Linked DNA regions of Styela clava. Each later gene encodes a partner of the first gene's protein in a complex. Links are inferred from orthologs where the notes say so. Each region holds a gene or a part of one and is shown in the gene's direction. Other genes may lie near its edges. The genes, in order: exosome complex component RRP43-like, exosome complex component MTR3-like and exosome complex component RRP40-like.

The links.
Region 2: exosome complex component RRP43-like (region 1) and exosome complex component MTR3-like share a complex: the UniProt entries of both Homo sapiens proteins name them as parts of the RNA exosome core complex. The link is inferred for Styela clava from reciprocal best matches to the Homo sapiens genes EXOSC8 and EXOSC6.
Region 3: exosome complex component RRP43-like (region 1) and exosome complex component RRP40-like share a complex: the UniProt entries of both Homo sapiens proteins name them as parts of the RNA exosome core complex. The link is inferred for Styela clava from reciprocal best matches to the Homo sapiens genes EXOSC8 and EXOSC3.

The regions. Positions count from the first base shown.
Region 1 is NC_135250.1:31,192,343-31,200,115, reverse strand, and holds exosome complex component RRP43-like, read left to right. Parts: upstream 1-4,912; 5' UTR 4,913-4,936; coding exon 4,937-5,764; 3' UTR 5,765-6,409; downstream 6,410-7,773. Other genes in the region: nitric oxide synthase-interacting protein-like, read left to right, coding at 1-460; 2-(3-amino-3-carboxypropyl)histidine synthase subunit 1-like, read left to right, coding at 2,651-3,868; coiled-coil domain-containing protein 174-like, read left to right, coding at 6,419-6,655, 7,332-7,506. UniProt on the Homo sapiens protein: Non-catalytic component of the RNA exosome complex which has 3'->5' exoribonuclease activity and participates in a multitude of cellular RNA processing and degradation events.
Region 2 is NC_135259.1:16,252,431-16,261,191, forward strand, and holds the start of exosome complex component MTR3-like, read left to right. Parts: upstream 1-5,227; 5' UTR 5,228-5,270; coding exon 5,271-5,364; intron 5,365-5,745; coding exon 5,746-5,922; intron 5,923-6,908; coding exon 6,909-7,000; intron 7,001-7,395; coding exon 7,396-7,593; intron 7,594-8,090; coding exon 8,091-8,207; intron 8,208-8,761. Other genes in the region: uncharacterized protein LOC120338528, read left to right, coding at 2,757-3,467; superoxide dismutase [Mn], mitochondrial-like, read left to right, coding at 4,210-4,902. UniProt on the Homo sapiens protein: Non-catalytic component of the RNA exosome complex which has 3'->5' exoribonuclease activity and participates in a multitude of cellular RNA processing and degradation events.
Region 3 is NC_135256.1:11,221,879-11,229,306, forward strand, and holds exosome complex component RRP40-like, read left to right. Parts: upstream 1-4,479; 5' UTR 4,480-4,515; coding exon 4,516-5,247; 3' UTR 5,248-5,670; coding exon of another isoform or gene 5,671-5,856; 3' UTR 5,857-6,664; downstream 6,665-7,428. Other genes in the region: uncharacterized protein LOC120328953, read right to left, coding at 640-770, 5,671-5,856; putative protein-lysine deacylase ABHD14B, read left to right, coding at 6,723-6,831, 7,278-7,428. UniProt on the Homo sapiens protein: Non-catalytic component of the RNA exosome complex which has 3'->5' exoribonuclease activity and participates in a multitude of cellular RNA processing and degradation events.

The DNA.
Region 1 (7,773 bases):
TTACGGAGATAAAAAGAAAGAATTAACAAGCTTCTGGATCCCGCAGCTAACGCCAGCGGCAAGCAAAAGTCGTTTTAAAAAACCAAGTTCGAAGGTGTATTGTCCGATAAATAACACTTCGATCAAAATGAAAGATTTAATACCGGTGAAATTTACACCAATTGCTGATCGGGACACAAAAACTGCGCTAATTAGTAAAAAGGACCGTTGGATGTGTGCAGTCACCCATGACACTTTAGGGAACTCTGTACCGTCGGTTGTTTTGCGTCCGACGGGCGACGTCGTTACTGCAGATTGTGTTGAAAAATTAATTAAACCAAACGAAATGAGACACCCTATAACCAATGAAATTTTAGATGAAAAACGAGATATTATTCCGTTGCAACGTGGCGGGACTGGTTTTTCTCAGACGAACGAATCTCTGGACGTTAAGAAATACAGACCTTCCATGCATGTTTAGTTTGAGTGAAAATTTCTAAAAAAAATCTCTCTTTCTGAAAGCTCCAACGAAAATTTCCTCCATTGAATATTTGGTACTGCCGTAGTGGTGTGTACCAGGTTGGGGTTATCCCACAATTTTTTTCCGATTTTCTTTATTTTAGTTCTGTTATGAGTTCGGAGACTGTCTGTGTCAGCCAAGTAAATATACCACATAGGTTTCAGTTCCTTTACCCAACTTGATGTAAAGTAGCCGAACAAAATTAGTTACCTCCATATTGGTACACACACTTTTGGAGCACCAAATATTCTACCCAGACAGTATAAAATCCCAATCTTAATCACTATTTTTGAAACTTTTTGGCGTTTCCACTTCGACACAAAACACATGTTTTAGTCGAGTATACGTTGGAAATGACTCTAAATATGACATGGACAAACTACGACTGCTGGGTGATTCTGTCTGGCCCACCTGATGCTGCCACAACCAAACTAAAACCAAATTTTGATGTTTTAGCAAAAAAAAAAGCTCAGGATTTGTTGAGATTGTGAGTAAATTTAGTTTGGGCATGAAGCTTATTGTTTTACATGTTTGCTTTTGTGATACTGTAGATATTGTTCATAAAATGTAATTTTTTATGTTTCACTCACATGGCCCGCCAGTCTAGGTGGGCAAGTTTTGGCTTCTGGTCCCCCCTGGGAAGTTTTGGCTACAACTCCCGACTGCAACGAAACCTTTGAATATCCGTTGTGAAGGATTTTTTAGTCGATTTAGTCGATTATTACCATTGTAAGTCTGTATTTTTGACATATGTCGTTACAGCACACTATCCAAATTCCAAGAATTTCCCCCTCATTTGGCTCAATGAAACAAACACTCTATGTGTCTCACCAACGAGGGGCGTCTGGGACCACGTCAGATGCTTCATATCGTGCCATGCTTGTCTCGATAATAATCTAAAATAATCGTGGGCGTCACATGACCAAAATTGCCGTTTTTGCTAAAAACTCTCGAATGCTACGGTCAAATTTTTTTTCCTTCGGTAAATCGGATTATTTTTTTCCAAGGAATTCAATGATGACGTTACTGAAGTGCGCTTTTTTGTAGTATTTTGCGCAACTTCATTATACAGTATTATTACCGATATTGAGGGACAACAATGTCCAGACGTCTCCCAAAGAAGGGGTGTCTGATCATCTGTAAAATGGGTTTCTCAGAAACGAGGCAATGTCACTCGATTTGTATAGTGTGCCGTACTGTATGTGCCATATGACTATGAGAGTTGTGGAAAAATAGTTGCTCTTTTTAAGCCACACCCACTTTTTAGAATTTGTCAGGTCCCCCTCTCAAAAATAACTAACTAACAAGAGGCTACAAATAACAGCTAGTAAGGCGGGAGTATGTTTCATTCAAAAAATACGTGAATGGAACATAAATAATAATATCAATGAAAATTTTTGAAATGTAAATATCCAAAGTAAGACGGACAATATAAAATCTAAGAAATATTTTTACTCTTGTTCTCTCAAAAAATTGTCCATGCTCCCCACAGACTTCTCACATTAGTTCTTTAACTTTATTTTTTATTCTCATTTTCAATATAAAGTCATTATAGTTGTTTGCTATATTATTCTATTCTATCTCTATTAGAGTTGGATCGGTATTTATGCCATAAATGTGGTACTCTCGTTGTGTGTGTACCAGGGTAGGGTCAGGTCATAATTTTATTCAGATTTTTCTTATTTTAGTTCCATTACGAGATCGGGACTGTCTGTGTTAGCCAAGTGAATATATCCCCTGCCTATAGGTTTCAGTCCCTTTACACAACTTGATGTAAAGTATGCGAACAAAATTAGTTACTTCCATATTGATACACACACTTCTGGAGCGCCCTAATTTCAATAAAAATATGACAAACTCTGATGCCACTGCCCTGAGATCATCTGTGAGGTTATATCTATTTAGTCAGTCTATGCATCTGGAGTACTTAACTGGTAAATAAATCATCTCTATGTGTAACCTGAGCTGGTAACAGGACCAACGCCTTGGTCTGCCAATAAGTGAGCTGTCTTATTGCATTCCCCCTCCCTGAGTATAAATATGGAAGCTTCTATCACAGTTTGTGAAGTTGAACTTTTTTTCATTTTCAATATAAAATCATTGTTTTTACACTAGATTATTTATCTAAATATAGGTTTATATTTATTTAAAATGGAAAATCAAACTGCAGTTGTTAAAGCTAATCCAACAAGAAAACGGGTTGGGCCAAAATCTAGAATAACAGCCAATCAAATTCCAGCTGAAATTCTAGAAGACTCCTCATTGGCTGCTGCAATTTCAAATCTTCCTTCAAATTACAATTTTGAAATTCACAAAACAATATGGCGGATCAGGCAGAACGGAGCAAAACGCGTCGCTTTACAATTTCCTGACGGACTTTTGATGTTCGCTTGTACCATTTCTGACATCATAGAGGAATTCACTCAAGCGGAAACTGTCATAATGGGTGACACAACATACGGAGCATGCTGCGTTGATGATTTTTCTGCACGTGCGCTGGAGTGTGACTTCATGGTTCACTATGGCCATAGCTGCCTCATACCTATCAACAATATGCCTGATATCAAAATGTTATATATTTTCGTTGATATTAAGATTGATATTGAACATTTGATGGCGACAGTGAGAGAAAATTTTACACGTGAACAAGCGTTGTATCTAGTCAGCACCGTGCAATTTGTCGCTACTCTACACGCAGTCAAAAACCAATTGATGAAGGATGGTTTTAATGTTAATATACCACAAATCAAACCGTTGACGCCTGGTGAAATTCTTGGTTGTACTTCGCCGAATGTTGGCGATGTGAAATGTGACGCTGTGATTTATCTCGGAGACGGCAGGTTTCATCTCGAATCTATGATGATTTCAAATCCAGAAATTCCGGCTTACAAATATGACCCATATGCAAAGACTTTTACGATCGAAAAGTACGACCATTTAGCTATGCAGAAAGTGCGAAGAAACGCGATCGAGAAAGCACGAAAAGCTGAAACGTGGGGGCTGATTTTAGGTACCTTGGGACGCCAGGGATCTACGACTGTTCTGGACCATTTAGAAGAGCGAATTCTTAACTCTGGACGAAGAGTTGTAAAAATCTTACTTTCAGAAATTTTTCCGTCAAAATTAAAACTATTTCCTGATGTTGGAGCATGGGTTCAAATTGCTTGCCCCCGTTTGTCCATTGATTGGGGCCTTGCCTTTGACACACCCCTCTTGACCCCGTACGAGGCTGCTGTGGCAATCAAAGACATAGAACCGTGGGAGGGGAATTACCCTATGGATTTTTATGCTCGTCAATCTAAAGGACCCTGGACTCCAAATTATCAGCCTCCAAGAGAGGTTAAAAGTAAAGTTGTCAAAGCCACTTGATATAAAGCTAATCTGGCACTAGTTTTTAAACTTTACTGAAATACCCATCGAGTCTTAGGTCATCTGTGTAAAGTAATAAGCTTTTTAACTTTTTATTTTAGGGGGGTGTTTCCAAATCTAAGAGGTGGTAGATATTTAGCTATTAAAATAGCTAAGTGTATTATGTAATTAACTGACCGCCTACACTGGTATATGAGTCACTTTCTGAATATTCAAGTACAATATTCCCATCCAAGTTAGAAACCTAAAGTGAAATATCAGATCTGTGGGAGGTCAGGTTTCAAATTAAGGTTTACTTAGAGGTATTACTAGGGCTGGGCACTTCAAATCGATTCGAATAGTAAATTATTCGAATCGGTTCAAAGCAAAATTTTGAATCGCCGCCATCTTGTTTTTGTTCTTTTCGACCATGGTCAGGTGAATTATCCATTTTTTTTTTATTGAAATCATATTTTTTCAATGCATTGTTGACATATGACTATTTTCTGTAGTGAGGTATTGATAAATAGTGTTTCTCATTGTGTGTGAACGCTTCGCAATCTGTCTGAGTGACGTATTCTATGTTTTCAGTAATTCATTTGTTGACAGGACCAATTACAATAAAAAAAAGTCGCATACAATTACATATCTCCCATTGACCCAAGTATTCGAGATTCGATTAGAAAAAAAGATTCGATTCGATTCTGAAATCATCAGGTATTCGAAATTGCCCAGCCCTAGTTATTACTGCATCAAGTTGGTAAATTTTAATTTTTCAAATATTATTTTGCCATTTTGCTCAATTATTTGTTTTAATTTTGAATAGTTTCTTTGAGCATTTGAGGTCTCACGATACGAACAAGGAAGCCATCTTTAGTGCATTTCCAAATTCAAACTTTTCAAATATGCATTGACTTCTGTGTGTTCTCTCTTGAGCATGACCCAATTCGGAATATCTTTATTACTTCTGAGTGAGTTTGCGATGCTATTAGAAGATTTTTTTTCAAAAATGTAACATTATTTATAATTTAAATGCTACAATTTTTGTGCTTTTTCTCATTTTAGATTTTCTACGTAACTAATTTAACTATGGAAGATATTACAAGTAATTTTGAAGCTTCATTGCCTTTGGAACATTACAAAGAGGTATTGAAAAATGACGTGCGACCGGACGGAAGAGATCTTGGAAAATTTAGAAAAATGACAATTAACGTTGGATCTATTAGTACAGCGGACGGCTCTGCTCTTGTGCAAATGGGAAATACCATGGTCGTTTGTGGGGTCAAAGGTGAACTTACGAAACCCCCTGCTTCGAAACCAGATTGTGGAATTATTGTTCCGAATGTGGACTTATCACCGATGTGTGCGGCTCATTTCAAACCCGGTCCACCGTCCGAACAAGCACAAGTTGCGAGCCAACTTCTTAATGACATCATAAAGACTTGTGATGTCATAAATCTTGATGAATTATGTATTTTTAAAGACAAACTGGTCTGGGTTTTATATTGTGATGTTGTTTGTTTGAGTTACGATGGAAATTTAAATGATGCTTGTATAATGGCTTTAGTGGCCGCTCTCGAGAGCACAACGTTGCCAAAAATAAAATACAATGAAGAAAATGATGTCATAGAGACGCTCGCTGACCCGGAACAGAGGTCAAAGTTGATAGTTCGAAAAAGGCTAGTTTCTTCAACTTTTGTGTTATTCGACTCTACTCATCTAATTGCTGACCCAACTTTGAAGGAAGAGGAAATGACATCGGGAGTAGTTACCATAGTAACGGATGACCAAGGCAAATTGTGTCATCTTCACAGGCCTGGGGGGTTCCCCCTCAGAGACAAACAATTAGAAAAATGTATAAAAGCAGCAACGCGGAACGGTCAAAAGTTGCACTCATTGCTGCAACAATTTCAATAATATTTTTATTCTGATAATAATAAACTAAAGCAAAATTTGCATAAATGAAGGATTTTAGAATAAATATCCTAATTAAAACTGACCAGTAGGTACAAGGTGCTCATATGAATAGGCTGGTAACGTGAATATTCTCTTTCCTGACTTGAACATGAGGTATATGTAAGGAGAGGTGTGGCTTTATATGTCAATATATCTCTGCGTTTGGTAGTAAAGTTTGATTGTGTTAACCGCAAGTTAGCATGTGCGATATAGTTTTCTGTTATCAACTCAAACAAATATTTATTTAACTAATTATCACCAGGTTTGCCCAAAACGAATCAAATAAATATCAAAGTATTTGAATACCTTTTCGTCTGATTTTTGAATAATCCTGAATAATAGCCACTTTTCGCCGTAAGCGTGGTGTTCGTTTTCAAGGGAAATCTTATTTGTTGTATCTATCGTATTGAACCTCAGCACTCTATTGCTTTCTCTCTCCACTGCAAACCAAATTTTCCATAGGGGACTTTAAGCTTCCTCTATGCAAATCCAATCATACGTTCATGCTATGCTTTTTGTGCACTATTTTTACACTCTAAACAAGACTCTGTGTGAGCAAACACCCTCTTTATGCTCTTTCTAATCATTGCCAACTTCCTTTCTTAGCTAACAAACATGTTCAGTTTAAAATCGGAACTGTTTAAAAAACAACAGGAGGTGACTTCAAAGAAATCTGGTCAAATAGTTACATCGGCAATCAGAAAACAACATAAATTGAAAAGTTCTTCAAATGGGGAGGGGAAAGTACCTGAAAATGAGAAGAATCCGGGAGTTGAAGAACGTAACGCAAGAGATATTGCCGAAACATCTGAAGAAATAGATAAAGGGAAAATGGTGAAATCTGTGCTGGAGGTGAAAATGAATTCTTTTGTAATAAAAACTATTATACCTTCTTTTCGGATTTGTTGTTTTTTGCGATTATTGGAGATGAGGTTATAGGTTTTGCATTCCCTGGAAGAAAATTTTTCTATTATGTGCTGATTTCTTTACCTTTGCTCAGAGATGAGTCTCTTTTACTCCAGAGTGACTGTTTGTAACTTTGCTCAGATATGAGTATCCTTTACTTTGAGTGAGTGCATGTGACTTTGCTCAAAGATAGGTTTTATTCACATGCAATGCACTAAGCTTAGGTCACCGTCTTATTACCTATCGATCTTAAGATTGGTAAGTATGTTGATAGGTATCTGTCTGTCTGTTAGATGAACGCGATATCTCACGAAGGCGTAGTTGAATCTAGTCCAAACTTTGCGTGTGCATTCATCATATCTCGGACCAGCAGCCTATTGATTTTGGATGAATTATGTCTCATAATTAGCGAGGTATTAATTAATTAGTTATGGGACACGCGGATTCACTATAGAGTCATGAATCGAAACTGCAGTTTTGATCGATAAGTCTTTGGTCTCCGACTGATATTCTCGTTCATAATTCATTGGCTTTGACTTGTCATTATGATTGAGCGGTCTCATCAGCTTTCTTACACATTGTCATATACGGTAAGTAAAATGTTTTTATTTTATTATTCAAGGCCAAAGCCAAACTCTATGAGAAAATGTCATCAGGAAACCTGTTGCCAGATGAAGAGAGTTCTTCATTATTTCTGGTTGATTTTGAGCAGAAATCCATGGATGCCAGATTACAGAAGACAAATAATGAACTGGATATCAAACCAAAAGTTGGTGTAAATGTGGCAACAGAGTTAGGTGAGCAATTGTAAATCAAGGATTTTGTAGGGAATTGAGAATCTTAGGAGAAGTAAGCTGGTACGATCAGTAATCAGTAGTTTATTTGTCACCATACTTTTTACCAAGACATACAAATTTCAATAAATAACAAGAGATCGATGCTCAAATATATGGACACGGTGTAGTATCGTATACAGTCTACTCCGAAAATTTCAAAGCATTTGGTCCAGTACTCAGAAAGAAAATTGATTTTTTTCTGTGACAACGAACAACAACAACATAATA
Region 2 (8,761 bases), on another chromosome or scaffold:
GGGCTGTGTTTATAATGACCAAGAGTATATTTATTTATTTATTTAGCAAAATCGTGCTGCTAAAAAACAAGAAGTCTTAAAACGTGTTTCATTATAAAATTTAAGCTCAAAAAAGAATTTAATCGTACTTAGCAAATTGCGTCTAACATTTTTGTGTATAAATACAGTAACGTATCCAGTCGCATGTGTATAAAATAAGAATATATACTTTGATATGATAACATCATGTAAGTATTGCAATAAAATATTGTATACATGTCAAAAACATGTATGCGTAAATACCAAATGATAACAAAATACTTTTCATACAACGCAATAAAATAAATTTCCTAAATATCCGAAAAATCGTCAAATTGACCCAAAATTTGAACAAGACCAACCTTTGAGGCTTGAAAAATATTTGGGATATGGATTGACATCTTTAACATGTTTTCAAACAAACAAAGAAATTGAAAAAAAAACTCGATCAGTTTTCTAACAAAATACTTTTATACAACGAAATAACGTAAATTTCTTAAAAATCCGAAGATCGTGAAATTGACCCAAAATATAAACAAGATCTGATTTTGTTTTATTTCTTTATTTGTTCAAAAACATGTTGAAGGTATCATTAATTCATACACAAAATATTTTTTGAGCCCCAAAAGCGGATCTTGTCCAAATTCTGGGTCAATTTAACAAAGTCGGATCTTGATCAAATTTGGTGTCAATTTAATAAATTTTCAATTTCTTTTGTAAATATTACGTTATTTTGTTGTAATAGATATATTTTGTTGAACCTCTCATTCGATCATAAATGCTGTGTGTTATCAGATGATAGATACATAATAATGTTCAATTTACAATTCTACATTTCCGTGACTATTAATTAGAATTTTAGAAATATGTTTTTATGACAGCGTATTATTTGCTGAAGGATTTTGCTGATATGACAGTGGCAATTAGAATTGCAGTGATCGGCGTGCCTTCGCAGTACAAGCAGTCCCATTGAAATTGTCAATTTTCCAAAATGGACTACTGAAGCCAAAGGTTTATCTTGCTTTACACTTGAGCAATTATTTGGCCAAACTTGTTCTTTCTTCGTCAGCGAGCAAAACAGCGTTTACCAGTTTACCAGAGAGTTTATACCATTAATATATCAGTATATTGATGGCAATGTCGCTTTTGCGAACGACTGATTGCAGGATTGCCGTGATTTTCACATTTTACTGTTTTAGTATGAATTAATATCAATTTATTTTTTTGATTTTTATGGGTGTTTGTGTGAGACTGTGAGGGATTGTGTGAGTCGAGGGCTTAGTACAGTAAAGCCATACGGTAACTGTGCAAATAACGCTAAACAAAAATGTGAATTGAAATTTTAATGTAGCCTAATTAAAAAATATCGTAGTCTATAATGCTGTATGTCGAAGAAAAAAATTCTTGAAGCACACGTTTAATTCAAATTAAACCTGCTCAATTTTCAACTAAGCTGGTACTGTATGTATGTCCTATGCCGTTTAGGGTATTGCAGTATTGTGTACGAGCATGAAGGACTTTTATTTTAAAAATAGAATGAAAATTTGGGTAGTTCTGTAGTTTCACATCACATTTTTGTTTAGTGGTATTTCAGTATTTAAGCAAGGATGTATAGGCTAGATTATTCTATATTCCTGTATTCCGACTTCCAGATATTGCGTTTTTTATAGTTTATTTGTATTAATCTGAGCGAAGCATCTTGAATTTCCAACTGTCAGACTGTAGTGGCACTTGTTTCTTGACTGGTATTTATGCTTTATTTTTGTTCTTTATTATTAGCTGTATTACTGCTGTACTGTTTCACAATACGGCACAGTTTTCCAATTGCAAGAATAGCCCTACATTGAAAAACATCAATCATAATAGTGGGTGTGAACCAATCCTTTACGACAGGGGTGTGCAACCTTTTTTATTGGCGGGCCAAATACAAGTAACTGGGTGAAGCCGCGGGCGCACCTTTATTTAATTTAGGCTTTCTGGTAGTTGCAAGCACAAAAATTGCCTATATTTGCTATTGATCTTACGGCATTATTAGGGGTTCTTGCAGAAATAGTAGATTTAAAACGCATAAACTTCTGAAGAAACTGCTATTTAAATTTTTTGTCGCACCGACTTCAAACGAATGCAGTGAGAAACACGTTTTTGTAATATAAATCGTGTATTTTGAAACAGAATTTTGCTAGCTTGTTTTGCTAATATGACTGGTATGGGCTTTGGCCCGCGCATTCGGCCCGCGGGCCGCAGTTTGCACACCCCTGCTTTACGAGACAGTCTGGGCGTCGATATCTGTTCCAGAAGGAAGTGCAATCTAAAGACATCACCATTGGATTCTTTAATCAGAACATAATATTGATTTACTAAAAAAATTAGATTTCGATAGTTTTTAGCCAAAAATCGCAATTTTGGTCATGTGATGGACTGATGGCGGAGACATATCACGCTTGATTTAAACCATCATTGAGACTAGTATGATGCTCTCTGATGCATATGCCATTTCAGGCGATCATAGCTATACTTTTGCAAGCTCTATGACAGGATTGCGACGTCGTAGTGACCTAATTTTTTGCATGGCGTAGTCAGGTGGGGGTTAGGATTGGCATGTGCAAAAATTGTTATGCTATGCCCACTGGAAGTACTTGAGGTACGAAACTACTCGAGACCTGAATATTCTATAAAGTAAATTTAATATTTTTTTTATACACAGCTGAGACAAGTATTGTGTAACTATTGTGCTAAAAATGGGTAAAATTCGAAGAAATAGAACGAAATTCCACTTGTCTACAAAAAATTCACAAATTGAAGAAAGCACAAATCAAGAAATCGGAGTACCCAAAGACTTGGATACTATCCAGCTTCCTCCTTTGTCACTAAATCCTTTCAGTGGTGGTCAGATTTCAACTAGTTCCTTTGATCAAAAGGAACATGAGGAAAAGAAAATTGATTTCACTTCAGATGTAGCTTCTGTAAATGTTCAGGAAAAATCTGCTGCATCTAACATTCATCTGAATAAGAAAAAAAGAAGAAAATTAAAACGTCAAAAGTTTTTGGAAAAATTAGAAGTGACGAGAGTCACAAAAGAAAGCAAAAAAGCAGCAAAGAAAAGATCAGATGTTCCTGTTGTTGGTGACTTGAAGCCAATGTCTCTCGCTTTGAGTGATATAACTAAAATTATCAGCTCTGTTGACGATAGTCAAACTGATGCAAAAATTGTTTCAACTAAGAAAAAAAGAAAACGAAAACCAAAATGGCTGAAAGAGAAATTGAAAGACACAGATCCATTAGAAGGATTTAAGACAATTAATGAAAAGGGAATAACGAAAATACAAAGTAAAAGAACTCAAAAACACATGGTTTATGAAATTCAAAGACTGCAAAAAGTTGTATCGGATAAAAAATTTAATGGTGTCAATTTGATTTTGACAGATGCGAACACAAAAAACGTGGTGTAACGTTTCAGAATTTTTTTGACCCTTTTGCAACTATCCATCATTTCATCATGTAGTGTCACTGGAGAAGCCAGTGCTTGGGGTTGAACTGCCCTTATTAAATTTCAGGAAGACAGAAAAAGTGGCTAATGAGCATGCTGTGTGATGTAAATTGTAAAGATTTGATTCAGTAATAGAATCAATTAGGATGTTTCCGAAATGTAATTGGCCTTGACTGCTTAGGCAAGAAATAATTTACTAGTTAGTATTGAATTCAAATATTTAGATTGTTAAGTTCTTGTTGGTAAATCTGAATTTATAATCCAATATTTTTTTTGAGAATTCTAGTTACATATATATGGTTATGAAAATAGAGCATTTCAGCAGAACTGGAAAGATATTGGATTATCTATTACGAACATAGAACTTGTAAAATATGCAACAATGTAACCTGATATGCTAATACCTATAAAGGATACTCAACATGATTTCGGCAATCACTGGCCAGTTGCAGCTTATTCCATTATTTCTGATTGTCTGGCAGAAATATCATTATCTAAAAATAATTCAATACTTGGGTTTATCTTAACTGAATGAGAGTTTATGCTGTTCTAGTGATTGAGACTTCATGCCAGCTTTTTTTCATATAAAATGATTTTTAAAATTTCATTCTTTCCCAATTTGGATTAATTGTATCGTGTCCATATTAATCAAATGGTAACTCTGCTTTCAGGTTTTATGCAATTATATTACACAGTACTTTATAATGAATATGCTGATGAGCCTTCGAAATGCTGGAGGGAAGCTTGTGGGTGGACTTCAATCAAGATTATTAGTAAGTTCTATTACATGTGTGCGGAGCAAGCACACCTTACCTGATCTGCCTTATGATTACAAATCTTTGGAACCGACAATATCTGAAGAAATAATGCGATTACATCATTGCAAACACCATGCTACCTATGTAACCAATCTAAACGCAGCAGAGGAGAAACTTGCTGAAGCTCAAGTAAAGAGCGATGCAACGGCAATAATCAATCTCGCTCCTGCTCTCAAATTCAATGGTGGCGGCCATATCAATCACTCCATCTTTTGGACAAATTTATCTCCGGATGGTGGCGGAGTTCCTCAGGGAGAGTTAGCTGAAGCTATTAATCGTGATTTTGGCTCCTTTGATAAAATGAAAGAAAAGCTTACTGCATCTACTGTCGCTGTTCAGGGTTCTGGCTGGGGTTGGCTCGGATACAATAGAGAGTGTGGAAGATTAGAAATAACGACTTGTGCTAACCAAGATCCATTGCTTGCAACTACTGGATTGATACCACTTCTCGGAATCGATGTCTGGGAACATGCTTATTATCTTCAATACAAAAATGTTCGTCCTGACTATGTTAAAGCTATATTTGATATTATTAACTGGTCAAATGTTTCAGACAGATTTGAAACAGCGTCAAAATAAATGTTATTTACAACAATAATTTTGGTTGCCACTTTGGTATGCGAACTCTGCATTTGTGTGATCTTAGTGATTTTAGAGGGTTAATTCATGTCTTTATGAGATCGCATACCAAAATGGCACCCAATTTCGTTTTCTATTCACAACTAAACTAATGTGATATTCTGTTGCAAAATATTCATATTTTTTTTTTAAATATATCGAAAGCTTCAGGTGTTTGAATTTGTTTGAATTACTATTCAATAATGTAATTGGTAATTGTTCATAAACAGTTATTCCATCGTTGAGGTAAAATCTGTTTAATATTGTATAATTTATCACAGAGATTCACAACTAGTTACATTGCAAAGTTATAGTTATTTCTTGCGATTATGCCTACCGATTCAAGAAGAATACCTGCTCCGGAAAATAGCTTCAGTCCAGATATATTTATTTCTGATAATAAGAAAACAACGCAGTTATTGGGTAATTATGATTTTTGAATTTATCTTGTTGTTTTTGCTCATCATGTTTCTGTTGTTTCAAGGGCTGTGAAATTTGGTATGTGTTTGCCGAATTCATATTCTTAAACTTTTCAAAGCCAATGTAGAAATTACGTTAACTTTAATTGTCTCATAATTTGGATGAGGTGTAAATTTCTCCTGATTCTTCAGCTAATTGTAATCATGTATGATTTAAAATTATGGGACGCAATTTTACTCATGTATTCATCACAGCTATTGAGAAATTTACCAATGATCTATTTTTTTGTATTTTTTACTGCCCATCTTTTTAATATATCGGTCCATGAGTTAGTTGGTTAACAGAATCCTCAAATACAAAATTAAAGCAACTTTTCTTTCATAGAAAATGGCCGTCGTTTTGATGGAAGAAGTTCAGATGAAGTGAGACCATTATTTTTGAAAACTGGTGTCATATCACAAGCTCGAGGTTCATCATATATAGAAATGAAAAATACCAAAGTTATTTGTGCTGTATATGGACCTAGAGATATTGGAAGAAGAGATGATTTTCAAATGGAAGGTAAACTTGATTTTGCATTGATTTTTCATGTTTACAAGTTAGTTGTAGCCAGAATAAATCTTATCGTAATGTTGTTGAGTGTGATATATTCAAGACGATTACGAGTCAGCATGACTTTATTAGTATGTCAGGCAATGTCTTTTTTAGACTGGGCATTTCCAAAAGTATAATATTCGAATCAGTATAGAGCAAAATTCCAAATCACCATCTTGTTTTTTTTTCTTCCCGCCAATGGTCAAGCAAGTTTTTTTTATTAAAGCCATATTTTTTCGACGCAAATCCTACATATGACCATTTTTCGTAGTGGGTTATTGATAAAGCGTGTTTCTTATTTTGTGTGAATGATGTATTCTATGTTTTCAATAATTCATTTGTTGACAGGACCAATAAAAATATACTATAAAAATGTGCATACAATTATATATCTCCCAGGTATTCAAGATTCAATTCCCAAATAAATATTCAATAGGATTCTGAAATCACCAGGTATTCGAAAATGCCCAGCCCTAGTCTCATTTAGATAGGAATTTATTCATCATCCAGTTACTGTATTAGCCAACAAATCAAATAAAAACACAAATATTAACAACATTCAATAAGTAAAAGAAGGATAATCGACTAACAACGGAATTGATAGGAGGTTGGAAGGACCATACGGTCACTAAATCAAAACAACTCTCCTGGCACGAAAAAGGTTGACAGATTACATTTTATATTTTACCAATTATAAAACATTTTAACTCGTAACTAACAATCAAGCAACAATAGTAATGTGACACATATGAGATGAACTTTGAAACAGAAGTGGCGAGAAAAAGCGTTTAATTTTATATCACACAAAATAAAAAGGTACAACTTGAAAAGGTATGAATCACTACTTATTCAGAAAAGACTGGAAATACTTCTTGGAAAAAACATTAAAACTGGAAATTTCTATTAGGTTTTCGTAAATACATTTGAACGTCAGTTTTTTTATCTTCTAACAGGTGTGTTGAAATGTGAATTCAAATTTGCTCCATTTTCATGTAAACAAAGAAGAGGTCATATACGTGACAATCAAGAAATGGAATATTCACAAGTATAATAAGTTTTTTGTTGCTAGATCTTCAAAGCATATGTTGTGTTACTTGTACACAGTTTATTTTACTAGCGATCTTGAAAAAATTAGTTTGAATGGAATTTGCAATTAATTATATTTGTAAAGTATGTAGTAATATTCTATATTACTGGTTTGAACTACATTTACTTGCTTTGATGAGCATTCTCTAATTTGGTGAAAAAACAATATGTGGCTTAATAAGAATCTTGGCTCAACTATTTGTTTTTATGTGAGTGTACAATTGCACCAATCAAACATTCATATTTGAATTCTAAATAGGTTATTATCAGTAGTGTGGTTTTGTTGTTATCTGTTTCGTTTTCTCACTCTATCAGAGAAAGAAATCTAGAAATATAGCATCGAACTTTTTTCAGATTTTAGCACAAGCTCTTGAGCCTGCAGTATTGATGCACAAATTTCCAAAAGCACAAGTTGATGTTTATGTCACTGTATTAGAAAATGATGGAGGTTCTCTAGCTGCTGGTATCATGGCGGCATCGCTTGCATTAACAGACGCATCTATTGAAATGTATGATATGGTTACATCCTACAATGTACGACTATCAGGAAAGGTATTTTATATTTATTACTGGACAAGTGTCTATTTATGTTATGATAACAAATACTTTAATTAAGCTGCTTGACTTAGTAACAGCCTAGGAAATGTTGTGCCCAACGCCTCTATTTAGCACATTTACCCTTGTTAAACAGCCTGCAAGTTTTAGGAACACCCTCACATTGCTAAGCACGAGGGTCGGCTTAAGCTTTGAGCTCTGGTTTATATAGTCTTGTGAGATACCGAGGGGAGCCCTCTCCCATAGTCTGGTAATGGCATTGGTGAAGCATGGAAATGTAATGAAAGATAGGATAAATATTAAGTCTCAACTTCCAATCTATGTTTATGTGGAACACGGTACTCCCGTCACTGTTGGTTTGGACTTTAGTTTGCGAATCCAGGAGATGTATATTGTTCAACTAGGGAGAATTGTGTCTGGAATGTTTCATTGGAGTTCCATTCCAACAAAAAGGTTGAAAACTACTACTCTATTCCTATCTTTGTGTCTTCCAGAATATGTTAATTCATGATCCAACAGCGTTAGAAGAGTTTGATTCCAATACAAGTGATGGTGCGTTATGCATAAATCAAGGAAATGTTACAGTTGCCCTTCTCCCACTTTTAAACCAGGTGAACTAAAGATAATATTGAATAATAATGAAAGGGATATACGAAGAAATTTTATTGTTTTTGAAAATTCTTCGCCACTGATATGGGAAGCTAGCTGGCAGTGGATACCTGAGCTATTTAGTTTAGTATTGTTCCTCTAGTTTACTTATCCCTTTTACAGAAGATGGCGGATAGTGTGACTGTGATGGCTGATGACTCAACTGCGTTGGCATCGCAGAATGTAATAAATGGGGGAGGTGATACCGATTCAGAAAGATTCTGGTTCTTTCAAATAATAGTAGTAATGTAGCTTTAGATATCAGTGGCTACTTGTACAGGGCCTTGTTCTGAGCGAAAGGCATGACAATAAAAGGCCACCACCAAACTCCTTAGAACAGCGGGTCACCAAACTACAGCCCGCGGGCCGGATCCGGCTTGCGGCGTTCTTTCATCTGGCCTGCAATACCACAAAAAAATGGCACACATGGCGCGTGCTTTGGTGAAACTGTTGCTGTGTTCGTATCTTGTGCTAAAATGAACGTTGAACGTGCATTTTGCGCTAATAGTACTGTAAT
Region 3 (7,428 bases), on another chromosome or scaffold:
TAATTCATCCAAAATCAATAAGCTTCTGGTACGACATATGATGAATGCACATGCAAAATCTGGAGCAGATTCAATCTCGCTTTCGTGAGATATCGCGTGCATCTAACAGACAGACAGACAAACAAATACCTATCAACATACTTAGCGATTAAAATCGATACGTAATAATAGCAGCAGACTACCGGTACCACAGTCTTCAGAAAGCTACCAATGCGAACGCGGAACCGCCACAAGATGCGCAATTTTTAATTTTAATGACGTCATCACACACACACACACACCACACAAAAAAAGAATCACAAAGGGCTCACAGAACCTTGTGAAATAAATAAGACTGATAGCCTTCTTACAACAAATACAATCTTTAACCACTGAATTCGTTCAGTAATTGGAGAGAAAAGCGATTTTTTTCATAACAACAAAAATACCAAAACGATCTATAGGCCCATTTTGTGTCCAATAATAAAATTTGTTAAGGATGTCAAGATGACTATAGATTAGCCTATATAAGTATATTGATGACCGAGCTATGTATGGAATAAACAAATGTCTTTCAAAAACATTGACAATAGTCTGAGCTGTCAATGACAACTCGATTGTAATATAAGGGGGTCGAATTACTCAGACGTTTCTTCATACCTTGTCGCCAGCAACTAGATAAACGACTCCATTTTTACGGAAGGATGCGAGGCCGTAGACTTCTCCGCAAGGTAGTGTTTGATGTTCCCGGAATTTAAACCGAATCTTCTTTGTCTGGCGAGTTGACGCCGCTGTAATGAGTCAAAGAATAATGATTGATTATTGTAGACTAGTATGCATCTTTAAGAGGAAATGTAAACAAGAATTTTCTTCGACCGAGGCGGTGATATAGAAAGCAGTTTATAGGACATTGGATCGTGAAAAATTCAATTCTTTCGTAGTTTGAAGTAATGTTCATCGTGGCACAGATTACAAAAAAAATCTGTTCGAGATGATGCCAAATGCAATGCTAAATTAAACTAATTAAACAAACTATAGACTAGCGCTTTCCAACTGGGGTTGACTTGAAAGTACATTCCAGGGGTTCCGCGAGTTTCCGAGTCTATTTTCATTGTATATATATATATATATCGTTCAGATTAAATAAAATGCCTATTAGTTTTGCCACTTTTATCAAACTTGCTACACTTTTCATTATAGATCTTTTATTTTTGTCAATATTAGGTTTGCTTCTGCATATACGGTATATATATATATATATCAGTGGCGGCGCGTGGTCATTTTGACAACCGGGGCAAGCTACTGCGGGACCAAGTCACCCCCATCTACGGGGGCAGGATGAGCGCTGTAAGTTCTCTTATCATTTTATGAGTATAAAAATCATTCCATCGGTAACAACCAATCGGCAAAAGCGACAATTTTTAACGATAAGAAAGTGTCTTTAAAACCGGTCCAAGTCAAGGGATTAATAAATATAAACATAGTTTATTTTATCCAAAAATACCCATCATCGTGCCCACGGAGGGACAGCTCGTGACAACCAATGAACTTCAAAACATCTATCAATCGACCGAGAACATGGCGGTTTTTCTCGACGTTTTGGTTGTGCCGACGAATAGAAACCGCGCGTCCTTCATCCAACTGTGCTGCAATATTAACATTTCCGAATGTTCGGTATTTTACTGCATTGTCCAGATGCTCCATAGAAGATTGATGATCCCTGGCACGCTCGGAAAGATGTTTAAGATCTCCAAAACCAAATTTACACCAACGTGAGTCACGGGCGGTAGCAAAAAGTAGGCAATAAAAACAAAAAAGTGCATTTTTGTCCTCGCTGTAACACAACCATTCGTGTTTTTTATACCAAGTTTCTGCGCAGAATGTACGCCGACGCTTTCCTCCGTCATGGGATTGTTCCAGTGAACAATTTTTTGGTTGATAAGGCCCAAGACGTTGTACCTCTAATTTTTGTTCCAGCGGCAGCTGCGAAAACGGAGTGCGAAGTAGTGCATCAACCTTTTTCATTATGAGGTCTAAGGCTAAGAAATGCGAAGCCGGAAAGAAGTGAGGAGCTCAAAAGGAATGTGGAAAATCGAAAGCAAATGGACTCAAGGTCTCTAACTGATTCAAATAGCGAAACAAGCGACAAAAACGAAGGCGAGGAAACTATCAACTCTTCAAGCAACCAACGAACGAGAAGGAATGCGTGAATATGTCAACACGTTGTTGTAAGAACGTCGGCATTGTGTCGTCATAATTTCGGGGCTAGCCCCGATGATTTAGTAAAAGAAACAGAAAACAAACGAGACAAACGCGGCGAGTGAAAGATAAAAGAGAGAATACGATATACAATGAGCAACCCGGGCAAAATCGGAGTCGCCCCGTCGACGTTCGGCGAAGGCTTTGCGAGCGAAAAATGAACCATGTCGGGAGAATATGGCTAGTGTAGACAGTCTGTGCAACCGATATTGAGGTATTTTTCGAATATTTTTTATTATACCGAAAAAACAACCGGGGCATTGCGGCATTGCCCCGGTTGGCTCTATTGACGCGCCGCCACTGATATATATATATATATAAGTTAATGCAATCCTGACAATAAAACTATTTCACATGGGTTCTGGAACGTTTCATTGGAGTATCGCCCCACCAATGAGTATGAGAATTGCTGCTACAAAGAGACACAAATTAGAGTAATCTGAGGTGTGAACAAAACTTCTGTTATTTTTATCTATTATTGTTCTATTACATAGCAGCGAATAAAAATTAAGTAATAAATAATCCTCATTTTAGTTTAAATTGTGTGTATCTCACAAAAATTCAGCAATTGATCGTCTTGACGTAATAAACATCAGCATCGGTTAACAATTGACAAAAAATATTTTCATTCGTAACGAAAATTAGGAAAGCGTTTTATTAAATCCAACAAAAACATTATACGGTAAAACACGCAATACGCGGTAAGGTAGATCAACATCGACCGCAAACAGTACCAGCAAGTCATCAAAAGGCGTGGCTTCGCACACACGTGGTTGTTCTGCGCCACCGCATTGGCACAATTAATGTTTGTCGAAGCGAAGCGAGTCGTTATTATTTACAATAGTTATCGAAGATACTCGGCTGTTCAGTAAACGTATAACGTTGTTAGACGCTGGGAAAAGCGGTCGGTTTTATCAGCTACACAGGCTGTAATGTATGTAGATATATGTGAAGTTAATCTACTGGTAAAATCGTGGCTACATATCAAATAACACAGAATATAGTTTTAGCCGCGGGGGCTTTACATAAAGGTATTTCTGCAGAGATGAAAAGTCTCTATTTTATGCCAAACTGATATGTCAGTAATATTTTGCTGTATTATAAGGTCTGAAGGTGTATTTATGTATTTCAGAAATTAAAAATTATGTTCAGTATTAAGCATATAATAGTTTGTGGGATTTTATCAAATTGTTGAGTAATAACGCCAGACCAGATGTTGTAAGCAGTATTATCTCAACTGTACCGGTACTCTTAAGTCTGTAAGTACTCTTATCATATGCTGATAGGATTGTATAAATGTATGGTTCTATATTACACCAGCTCTATTTTAGTCTGTTGTGGCTTATTGCCCATATTCATCACTGTCATACAATAATTAAAAATTAACAGAATTGTGTTAAACATAACTAATATATGATTGAATATTTTAGGATAGGATTTACATATTTATCCCGGGGGAGAGGAAGGGCGATGAGATGGCTTATCCATATGGCGAACCACGGCCATTTTACATAGTAAATTTATTATAAATGTTCCATTGTTTCCTATTTTAAATGCTGTGTATCTGAATCAATAAAATCATTTTACAAGTTTCTATGTTATTTACTTTCTGTTAAGTAGTGTCTGCCTCTATTGTTACATAACAATAGACATGCAATTTCACGAGCTTTAGTTTTTTTTGATCTGCTGAACTGAGTTTAGCGAACATGAGAGATTTTTAAACTTTTTTAAAAAAAAATCAGGCAGAGCTGAAGAAGAAGAGTTGACTTTTTGCCTTTATTCCTCATGCCTACCATTTTACAAAGTTTAAAGGCATAAAGTAGACATTAACTATTACAAAATTGAGTTTTATCAAAGGCAGCATTTTTTTTTCGTGAGAGCGTGCCGTAAGTTTTGTCCCTGATAATTTGGCGTCTCACAAACAAAACGTTTGGAAACTTCTGGACTAGGTATTTTTTTCAATTAAAATTTGAAAGAAATATTACTGTATTATATACCATTTGATATATTCTGAACAAGAGTCAATGAAATTAATATACATTTTCAATATTAGATGAAAAAGGCAAAATTTTGTGCATTATTAAACCAGAAGACCACTCATAAAATTGTATAATCACCTAGTCGAAATAGCAAAGATTCATTTTTTTTTTTAAATCGGACCGATTATTCCGGACCACATTGTTCTTACCCGTTTGATCTTTGGTTTTATTAACACCAATTTTCTTCCTTCCATATAGTATTATTCTTACCTAGCCTAATTTAAGTTCACTGTTAAAAATGAAATGTCCAGCCAAAGAGTTAGATGCAAGTGTTGTCATGCCTGGTGACATCATAACAGAACAAGTATTGGATTTAATCGGCAAAAATGAAAGAGTAAAACTCGGACCTGGTCTTAGACAAGGGAATGACAGTATTGTCGTTTGTAAGTCTGGGATTCTACGACACAAACAGCCTAGCATGTTTTGGATAGACAGTCATCAGAAACGTTATGTTCCAATTAAGGGTGAAAACGTTTTGGGGGTTATTGTTGGTAAAATTGGTGATGCTTACAAAGTAGACATTGGAAGTAGCGACTATGTCGTTCTTAATAATTTATTTTTTGAGGGTGCTACGAAACGAAATCGACCGAATCTTGTAAATGGAGATATAGTATTTGGAAAACTAATATCTGCAAACAAAGACATGGAGCCGGAATTGAGTTGCATTGATCAAAGCTCAGGAAAAGCAAATGGAATGGGTCCTGTACCTTCTAATGGATTGTTGATAACAGTTCCACTTAATCTAGTTAGGAAAATCTTATCCCCTGATTGTGTTTTGTTGCCAGAAATGGGGAAATATTTTGGTTTTGAGACCCTAATAGGAATGAATGGTAAAATTCACCTAACAAGCCACAGTGATAAACATATTATTGCTATAATGAATATGATAACAACAGCTGAATATATGACAAATGAACAAATTCTAGAATCACTAAGTTCAAATACAGCAGACAACTGGCAAACTGCTTAAATACTCGTTAACAAAATGAGAAACGAGCCTTTTTCTACAAAGTAACTGGTGACAATAAAGAATGACAATTAATAATGCTGATTGAACTGGAGTATTGTCATTGTGTTCAAATATCCAATGTCATATTTAAGTAGTTTCAAGCATTCATCTTACATACGAGTTGGTTATATAACCAATCTTTACATAATCATATCATAGCCAAGGCAGAGTAAAGTCACGGCAACTTTTCATTGTCAGTGTGGTTAATATAATGGCAAATTTGTTCTATTTATGCAAATATGCTCTGTTTCTGGGATAAACCTATGTAGGGCTCTTATAACATCAGTGGTCATTATGGATTTTCTGTCAATACTTTTTCACTTTTAGTTAAAAGCTTATTAGTTTGGACAAACATACATGAAAAAATTCAGTAAGTTTAATTACCTTTGCAAACAGCAGGCTGGCCCGACCAAATTCCCTTTTCCATGCAAGTGTTGTACGAACTGCCAACAAGTTTATATCCATTGTCACATTGAGTGGTACAACGAAGAGCTCTTCCTCTTGGTAAATCAATCATTTTGCATGTACGATCTCCATGTAATGGAACATTGAGATGCTTGCATACAGGAACTGTAAAAAAAACATACAATTGAGAATGCGATAATCAAGGAGAAAGAATTTTTTTAAAAGCTAAATTCTCTGTATTATAGCATATGCATGTTGCACCTATTTTACATGCTTGTTGTGATGCTAATATTTATTTCATCGTTTCATGCTTTGTATCATGTTACATGTATACCTGTTGTTAAACAACATTACCATCCTGCGGGAATTTTTTAATTAATTCTTGTTGTTATTGCTAATTTGTGTGGGCATACCAATGTCTCTTAAACTACAGTAATTATGTTCAGAACCTGTTTTAGAATTCTTTTCGAGATACCTTACATGGATAGATATGTTGTTTATGAATAGGGTGTTATATTTAGCTTCCTGATTGGATAAATAACAGATAATCAATCATATTCAATTTGCGAATTCTCTTTGAAAAGGTTGATGTCGTGGTTTGACTGCCCTCAAGTTTCAATCAAGAAGCTAAAATTAGGTGTTAGTGAGAATGTACCCATTATAAGTTCATAGTCATATAATTGAAATATTCCATTTTTTCAGATATTATCTGAACAACAGGGTTATCCATAGAATAACAAAAACATCAAACAACTCATGCGTATTGCAACACTCCTAACAGTCTAAGTAACTGTTTTGCTGATTTTTGAATAAAAAATACCCTTTGTAACCTTGAAAGCTGATTATGTTCTTATAATTGGCTTTTAATATTCTTTAAGGTCATGCAAAATTCTTTCTCCCATAAGAGGTAAATGCGCCTTTTTTAACACTGTCAATATTTCTAGGTTAACTGTCTTATTTTTCACTTTCAAGATGTAATTCAGGTGTTTAAATATAAATGCTTGGCATATTGTAAAATAAACAACGCAACCATGAGTGCGGAGGTAAATAAACGAGGAGTGGTATTGACTTTATTAATCCTCTCAAGTATATGTTATATTTTATACTCCAACAGTGATGAAATTCAAAGCGATTCAGCAAGTAAGATTTATTATATATTGGTTTAGGTCATCCACAATACATTTATAAGTAACCTATACAAAATTTGTATTGTTGTTTGTCCAGAATGAATCAGACAGCAAGAAATCAGGTGTAAAAATATTTAACCTGAAAGATCTATATCTTTGACAAAAATTGTCACTGAATTCTTATCTTTAATGACATAACATTATGTATGACACTTATTTCAGGCCTATTTGCTCCAACAAGGCCCTCTATAATCAGCCCCTGTTATGTATGAACCTTCATTTTTGAAAGAACATAATTCATTCTGGATCAACATTACCTACCTAACTTATCACACGCTCGGTAGGTATGTGGGCAAAGGTTTTAAACCAAAGATGTGTAAGCTGCAATGCCAACTTAGTTGGCCCCGTTTTGACCACAATAAGTGTAAATTCAAAACTATTTTTTCTATTGTTTCTCAGTTCAAGTGGATGCACTATCGATGATCAAAGCAAAACAGAAACTTGATAAATTAGGACCTGAGTTGGCTGATAATGAAAAGGACGAAGTCGATCCAGAAATAGGACTTGACGTTGAATATGTTGAAGATTTTGTTTTAATTGATGGAATCAA